Bombyx mori: one gene and its partner. The protein of the gene in region 1 purifies or fractionates together with the protein of each later gene. This does not show direct contact. Links are inferred from orthologs where the notes say so. Each region holds a gene or a part of one and is shown in the gene's direction. Other genes may lie near its edges. The genes, in order: protein SSXT and SWI/SNF-related matrix-associated actin-dependent regulator of chromatin subfamily B member 1-A.

The links.
Region 2: the proteins of protein SSXT (region 1) and SWI/SNF-related matrix-associated actin-dependent regulator of chromatin subfamily B member 1-A purify together in Homo sapiens (affinity purification with mass spectrometry; 9 studies listed by BioGRID and IntAct, counting the BioPlex papers as one, with this or other methods). This does not show direct contact. The link is inferred for Bombyx mori from reciprocal best matches to the Homo sapiens genes SS18 and SMARCB1.

Annotation. Positions count from the first base shown.
Region 1 is NC_085110.1:12,910,737-12,915,104, forward strand, and holds protein SSXT, read left to right. Parts: upstream 1-1,613; 5' UTR 1,614-1,928; coding exon 1,929-2,150; intron 2,151-2,625; coding exon 2,626-3,738; 3' UTR 3,739-3,847; downstream 3,848-4,368. UniProt on the Homo sapiens protein: Appears to function synergistically with RBM14 as a transcriptional coactivator. Isoform 1 and isoform 2 function in nuclear receptor coactivation. Isoform 1 and isoform 2 function in general transcriptional coactivation.
Region 2 is NC_085122.1:12,051,010-12,055,391, reverse strand, and holds the start of SWI/SNF-related matrix-associated actin-dependent regulator of chromatin subfamily B member 1-A, read left to right. Parts: upstream 1-1,388; 5' UTR 1,389-1,563; coding exon 1,564-1,644; intron 1,645-2,712; coding exon 2,713-2,903; intron 2,904-3,358; coding exon 3,359-3,521; intron 3,522-3,812; coding exon 3,813-3,960; intron 3,961-4,382. Other genes in the region: putative tricarboxylate transport protein, mitochondrial, read right to left, coding at 1-38.

The DNA of each region.
Region 1 (4,368 bases):
TCGCTTTTGGGACTTCATCACCTCGAAAGGTATCCTGATCGACGAATAGATCGGATTCCGTGCGAAACATTCGTCCATTCAGCAAGTGCACCGCCTCGCGGAGGACATCTTAGTAGGGCTAAATAGATGCAGGCCCGTCACCACGGGAGCCCTCTTCATCGATATCGTGAAGGCGTTCGACAAAGTCTGGCACAACGGCTTAATTTACGAATTGTTTAACATGGTCATGCCAGACAGTCTCGTGCTCATCGTACGAGACTTGTCTTAACTTGTCGAGACTTGAGTTGTCAAACCGTTCGTTTCAATATCGAGTCGAGGAAACTCGCTCTCTCCCGCGACATATCTCGGCCGGAGTCCCGTAAGGCTCCGTTCTCTCCCCGCTACTGTTTAGCCTGTTTATTGACGATACACCTCGGTCGCCCGCCCGATTTACACGAGTAGGAAGATGTCGTTCATGCATAGTAAACTCCAAATCGTGGCCACCAATTTAGGATAGTGGTTCCGGAAGTGGCACATTGGTGCATTGATATCAACCACACAAAAATCACAGCCGTGCTCTCCAAAAGGGGTCGTCCTCCCGAGACTACTGCTAGTATCTTATCACCAATTAGGCGCGGTAACTTCATTTCCGCTATTAAAATCCTTGGCCAGCCCATACCGTGGACTTCGAAAGCTAACTACTAAAGCGTCACTTTCGACAGGGGGATGACATTCGGGTCCCACATTAAGTCAGTACGCGACCGACCCGCGTTCTTCTACCCCATGACCTGCAAGCGAAGTAAAAATTGTGCCTTCATAACAAAGTATTACTCTACAAAACTTGCATACGTTCTGTCACGACCTATGCAAGTGTAGTGTTTGCTCACGCGGCCCGTACACACATTAACCCTTTCCATGTAATAAAACCCCGTTTCTTAAGGATAGCCGTCAGAGAACCGTAGCATATGAGGAACGTAGATCTTCACGATGACCTGAATCTAATACCGATTCGTAAGCATCTTACGGAAGCGCCAGAACGCTACTTCGTCAAAGCGGGGCGATCCGATAACCCTCTTATCGTGGCCGCCGCTAATTACTTATCCGACCGCGACTGGGCAACGCAAGGCGCCGTTGCCCGAAATATGTCTTTTCGGATCCCCCGGATTGACTCTCGGTACTTTTAGGACCCTGAAGCATCGGTCACAGAGCTCGTCGATTACGACGATGAGTTCGGGAGCTCACTTACCCGTCCGGGTGTAGCTGGAATAGCCTCTTAATATCCCAGTGAATAGTTAGGAGAGAAAAAAAGACGAAATTGTGAATGAAATGAAATTGATTTTGAGACAAAGGTTAAAGGCTTATTACACTGGCTAAATTTAGTCGACTGAATTCAGAAGCAAATTTAGAAGCTTCTGATTACACTGTTCTAAATTTAGTTACTAAATAAATTGTCACATGGTTTTTTTGTAGAACCCGACAAACTTCATCTTTCGATTTGTTTTCCGTAATAAGCATTTGTGCAATTTTACACAATGATAGTATATAGAATGAATCTTACGACATTAAAGAATAATGTTACTAACTCGTACGGACTCAAAACACGCCCTACCACAAGTAGCTTTTCTAAAAGTCTCAGCAAATTACTCCTATTTAGCCGACAAATTAATTTAATTAGTTTATTTTATTCAATTCTCTTTATACAATTTCAATCAAAAATAAAGATAATTCTTGCGTTATGATTTATTTTATTTTTCAGTGCTTTAGCTTTTGCATCTAACTTTCGTATAGCCTATGTTCCCTCTGCCCCTACTCTGCTATTAAACTCTTTGGTTTGTCCAATTTCTGAACAAATCAAACAAAAAATAAAATCAAGTAAATTAAAAATCTATGAATTTTCTACCTGAAGTGCTATGTAATAGAGGAATAATAGCAATATTTTAAATTACACAATGTCTGTAGCGTTTGCGGCACGAGGAAATCGTCCTCCTTTAAGTCCGGCACAAATACAAAAAATGTTGGATGAAAATGCTCATCTAATACAAACAATACAAGAATACCAAGCAAAAGGGCAAATAATGGAATGTCACCAATATCAGCAAATACTGCACAGGAACTTGGTTTATCTCGCATCTGTAGCTGACGCTAACCAAAATATACAGAGCATTTTACCGGTAACATTTTTTTATTACTTCATTAAGACATACATGGCATGGCCAACCTGGTGTTTAGCGGACTCCTTTAACATAACGAAGGCGTCACCCTTCAAACCGGAATGAACGTGGATTTTTGGACTTTATTTTCAGTGGAGACATTATTTAAAACAATAAAATTTATGTTTGTTTGAAATGGAAAAATTCTGATTAGTTGAGAGAAAGTGACAGAAAGGAATCAAATAAAGCAAAATAATCTATTAATTTTCATTATGTTAAACACTAGAGATGATTTGTGTATCTTGAAATTAGGATAATTAGTCTAGCTTGTTCACAAAGTAGTTCAATTTAGGTGCTGATACAACTTCTGGCAGCCTGTTCCATTCCATGATTATATGGTTTGGTTCATCAAAGGGCTTATCTGATGAGATATTCTACTTAAAAGTTATTTTGTACTGAAAGAATATATAGAATTAGTTGTTTTTTTTACTTTCAGCCTCCTCATCAATTAGCCACCGGAAATGTATCTCAATCTCCACCTATAAATCCCCCAACCAATGCAACTGATGCATCTGCTGGTGGTCAACAAGCCTACAGACAACCTTCAAGTGTTAGTTCAACACCAACAAGACCAACTCAATCATATGCTCAAAGACCTTATGGTCAAGGTCAATATCAAGGCCAGTATCAGAATGCACCTGGAGGGTACCCTCCACAAACGGGATATGGCTCTAATAATCAAGGATATGCTCCACCTAATCCATCCCAACCCCAAGGCTATCCTCCGAACTCTAATTATGGTCCACCAATTACAACAACTCCAAATAACTATCCACCATCTACTCATCCAGGATCTAACTATCCACCTTCTTCGTCTCAACAACCTTATGCACCACCTTCTGGTAGCCCAGTTTCAGCTGGTGCTCCATATCCTGTGCGTGGCTCATCTCAACCACCATACACTGGAAATTCCACATATCCTCCAGGTCAAGCTGGCTCAAATTATTCTAATGTTGGTGTAAGTACTTATAATTCAACTGCTCAACCACCACAACCATACCAGTCACAACCATTTCCAAATACAACTCCAACATCTGCATATAGTTCAACATCAACTTCTCAGCCTAACCGTTCTCCTCAACCCCCAAACAATTATTCTCAACAGAATCCTACAAGTTCCACTTATGGATCACCATCTGCCCAGTCACCAACCTATAATACTAGTCCCCATGGAAGTAGTGTCCTTACAACTGCCTCATCTGGTGGACAAACACCAAGTGGTCCTACTGGACAACAATATCAGGCTCCTTCACAACCATCACCTTATACACCTGTTACACAACCTTATTCAAACCCTTCCTCGCAACCTGGGAGTCCAGCTCCTTCAGTATCCACTGCTCCACCTCCTACTTCCTATGCTCAAACACCTCAAAATTATCCACCAGCTGGAGGTGCGTATCCACCGCATGCATATCAACAGGGATATCCACCAGCACAGTATCCACCCTCCCCTTATCCTTACACACGAGCACCCGCTCCTGGTGCTCCACCTCCTGGTAATCCACAACCGTACCCAGGTTATGGATTCCAACCTCCTGCCCAGCAATGATTTGCATATTTTTAAAACCTTATAATAAATATGCTTAGGTTTAAACCCCAAAACCTATTAAAGTGTACTTCTACATTCTAATAATTTGAAAATAAAATATAGTGAGTGATATTTTGTTTTAATTCAAAAATTTTACATACTACAATAACTAATTCGTTACAGTATCCTACTAAAATGAACAATTGAAATAATACAAGGATCAAAATTGATCAAATAACTTTATCAGCTCTTTGAATTCACTTAATGCAAAAATTTGGGGCTGTTTGATATCAATGATCATCACTATGTTACATCATCATTAATTTAAAGACTTGTGATTTTTGTAACAATTATATTTTTAAATCCATCGCATGCTATCAAGGAACAGTCATTGAATTGGATTAATTAGAATAATTTGTAGATATGTTACAGTACTGAAAGTTATTAATTAGAAAAAATTTTGCATTATCAAAGTTGGTTTTATTGAACTAGGATTTATAACGGCCCACATGAGGGTAAAGTTACCGTCGTTAATGCCAACTCAGCGTAGCCAAGACTACCGCTCAGGACTCATAACAAACCACATTTGAACAAGAACTCTTCTTCAGGAAAATTATGCTGGGAGTTCATATAATGTCATGGTAGGTAGTA
Region 2 (4,382 bases), on another chromosome or scaffold:
GAGAATGGGTTTTTGAATGTTCCTTGCCGTGAAGACATGGTCTCTTTTTTCGAGCACTTTTGAAATTCGCAACGACTGCGACGACACTCCCCTACGACATTTAATTTCAGACTAAAAATTTAGGTTATATTAGTTATATACAATCATACTCTATGCTAACAATATGTGTTTGTGTATAGTCTATGAACTAAATTACTTTTTGGCGGGAACGCGAGGAGTGAAGTTGTGTGATTTGTTTTATTTTGTCTATTTAGTGTTTCTTCAGGTTTAAATGTGTAATAACGGTGGTTTATTAACTGTTTAATATCTGTGAAAGTGCACAAATGTGGGAAAATGAAACAAAGCTGCTGGACGTAACTTCTCGGGTTCCTCCAAAAAGTCCACTGAAAAAATCTCAGTAAATGACCACCATTTTACTGCGATTATATTTCATCCCATATCATCTCATTTCATTAAATTCATCCCAGTTGATTAATGTCTCAAATTAATCATCTTCATTTCATTTCACTCCATATTATCATTTTTCATAAAATTAAGACTATAAAGTAAAATAAGACATGACTTAAAGGTCTTAGTTACCAGGTCATAAAATCTCTTAAAAAAAAAAAAATCAATTAAAATAGGACTTTTTGGCGGGAACGCGAGGAGTGAAGTTGTGTGATTTGTTTTATTTTGTCTATTTAGTGTTTCTTCAGGTTTAAATGTGTAATAACGGTGGTTTATTAACTGTTTAATATCTGTGAAAGTGCACAAATGTGGGAAAATGAAACAAAGCTGCTGGACGTAACTTCTCGGGTCCCTCCAAAAAGTCCATTGAAAAAATCTCAGTAAATGACCACCATTTTACTACGATTGTATTTCATCCCATATCATCTCATTTCATTAAATTTCATCCCAGTTGATTAATGTCTCAAATTAATCATCTTCATTTCATTTCACTCCATATTATCATTTTTCATAAAATTAAGAATATAAAGTAAAATAAGACATGACTTAAAGGTCTTAGATACCAGGTCATAAAATCTCTTAAAAAAAATCAAATAAAATGTTTTTTTATTTTATGACTTGGTAGCCTAGACCTTTAAGTCATTATCTTATTTTAATCTTCTTATTCTAATTTATATCTTATTATAATTTATATTCTTATTTTTATGAAAACTGATAATATGGAGTGAAATGAAATGAAATGAAATGAAGATGTCAAGAATGTCTCAAATTAATTTAAATTAATATTTGAGACATATATTAAAGGGATCAACTGGGATGAAATTAAAGGAAATAAGATGAGACGGGATGAAATATAATCTCAGTAAAATGATGGTCATTCACTGAGATTTTTTCAGTGGACTTTTGGGTGAATCCCAAGAAGTTACGTCCAGTAGCTTTCCAAAATAATATATGACTTAAAGGTGTACGTTACCAGGTCATAAAATTAAAAAAATAATTGGATACATATATACATATTCACAGAAACGATTTATAAATTTTACCCTTACCAAATTAACATTACAATTCTTGAAGTAAATGTAATTATTTTATCAAAGGAACAACACAACTACAAAAATGGCCTTACGTACGTACGGCGATAAGCCGATAAGTTTTCAAATCGAAGAAGGAGGAGACTTTTATTGTGTTGGCTCAGAGGTAAGTTCCATACATTTCTTGATTAAAAATACATCGAACTACTCGAAACATAATTTTAAAGATACGTTATTAAAAATTATTTCATTCACTAACGGAGCTAGTCTTTCTTTTGTCGAAGAACATCGTTCCTAACCTCAATCTGGTCTATTATACAAACTTGCCTTTTAGAATTATTCTTATTTCGATGAGGCTTGGTTTCCATTACTGTAAAGCAGACTATAGTTTATTGTCCATCAAAGTATAAGATAAAAAATAGAACAATAGGTCTATATCACCCTTATGAAAATGGAATACAAATTTTGGAGATAAAATAACTAAGGAATTTCTGTAGAAGGCAAAACTGAGCTGTAATAATTATGTTGCCCTTTAATGACAATTCTTTAAAACTCATTTTCTTAGCAATAATCGAGTAAGTAATCCAGTAAACAGATCCATATTTAACAAAATCCCAAATACATATACATGTACAATAACATCATTAGCTAAGAAACCTAAGATTTTAGTTAAAGAGATACAAATCATGAAAGTTTACCAGTCCATTTTAACTACTGGCTTAAGATACCATACTGTACTTTTTATCTTTTTTCTGTATCTAGTTGCATAATTCAGTGTTCATGTGAAGTTTCTCACTATAATCTTCTATTCTACAGTAGAACTTTCTAAAGCGCCATTATGAATTATATTGAATAAGTAAACGACAGTGATTGCTTGCAGTGCAAATTAAAACAAGTTGTGGCACCCAATGCTGTTTCTGCTCTTATTTTTTTAGATGAGCAATGATGTATTTTCTTCAGTGTTTCTGAATTGTATAAAAAAAGGTCTAATTTCATATTTATTATATTCATTTCATTATCATTTTTCATGGCATATTAACACTGTTCTAACTACTGTAAATTGTTATGACAAAAAATTTAAATGATTAAACAATAACAGTGGTTTTAATTAAAAGCAATGCAAAATTATATTGTGGTGTCGAAAACAGCAGTTTTAACTTGAGATTTCCAGATTTTGTATTTTGATTAGTCTTATGCCCGCTTAAAAATGCAAAAAAATTAACTATTGCCTTAGGTCGGGAATTACCTGCGCTTGTTCCGTGGGTCACTCTACAAGAAGTACCCTGGCATGTGCCGGCGTACCCTCACCAATGAAGAACGTAAGCGATTAATTGACAACGGTCTTGGTCCTCATGTGCTGTCCAGTTCAGTTTCACTGTTGAAGGCGTCAGAAGTTGAAGACATTATTGAAGGGAATGATGATAAGTACGTCATTATAAACATTTTGTGAACTATTGAAAGCGGTTAAAACCGACAATTGCTGTGTTAGCATAGACAGGTGAACGAGTTCATAATCCATCTGATGATAAGTGAAGCTACCTGAAGTAGTCAGTCGAAATATTAGACCTTTAAGTTTTGGTGAGCACCTGGCACTATTGAAGTCCACGAACGACATTAACCACTTACCATCAGAAGAATTGTATGTTTGTCTTATTTTAAGGACAATAAAAAAAAAAACAAAATGTGTGCATATCTTTCTTCTTCATCGCTCCCTCATTGCTGAGGATTGTGACTCTGTTTCAGCTGTGCCAGTCTCCATCGGTTCTGGTCAGTTGCTGTGTGCATATCAAGGAAATCTTAAATACTATGAATTGTATATGAAACAGCAGTTGTCCATTAAACTATTTACAGCTATGACACAGCTTTAAATTAATTTATAGATACAAAGCAGTGTCCGTCAGCCAAGAGTTGGCGACACCCCGTGAGAGCAAAAGCAAGAAGCCACACACTCCATCATGGCTGCCAGTCATGCCAAACTCTTCTCATTTGGATGCTGTACCCCAGGCTACTCCAATCAGCAGGAGTAGGGTGCATAATAAGAAGGTAAAATGGATGTTAAAGTCAAAACTTAAAGTCCAGTTGGGCTTCAGGTTCTGACTCCTAGGTTTATCTAGTTAATCATGTTTGACATGGGGCCACACTCTAAGGTCAACACAACACATTTAATTTAGCTTCTGATTCAGGATAGATAGATAAGATAGATAGAATATCTCAAAATCAGAGACACATCGTAAGATAAATAACAGATTTTGAAATGGAACATTGGAATTAATGTAATATACTATAGTTCTAAAGTATCATTATTAAAACTAGCATAAAATGAATACTTTTCAGGTGAGAACATTCCCACTGTGTTTCGATGACACAGACATGACTGCAATGCTGGAGAATGCTTCGCAAAAGCAGGTGCTTGTACCGATTCGATTGGACATGGAGATTGAGGGTCAAAAACTCAGGGATACATTTACATGGAATAAAAATGGTATGTTTAACTGCATTTGTTACCAATTCTGGTTGTTTATTCTCAATTTTTGATTTCAGAAAGTATTTGAATAATAGAATGTGTAATTGCTGTCTACCAAATTATAAATAGATTGGCTGTATTTACTGTGAATTGTATCGACTGTCAATTGAAAATATATAATAACATTTTCTTATATCTTTAACTATAACTATTCTTTATAAAGTTCTTTAATCATGCTTAATGAAAATTGTTGGTCTGCAGTAAGTGTTGAAGATCAGGAGGACCTTGTCCAACTGTCTTGGATCACAGAACAGTTCCAATGCGCCCTGCAAATTTGGTTAAAATATTTTTAATGTTTTATCGTTTTCATTCTATATTGTTCTTTTAGCACAACCCTTACATAAATTTAGGAATACGCTCCTTAATTTTTATATCCATAA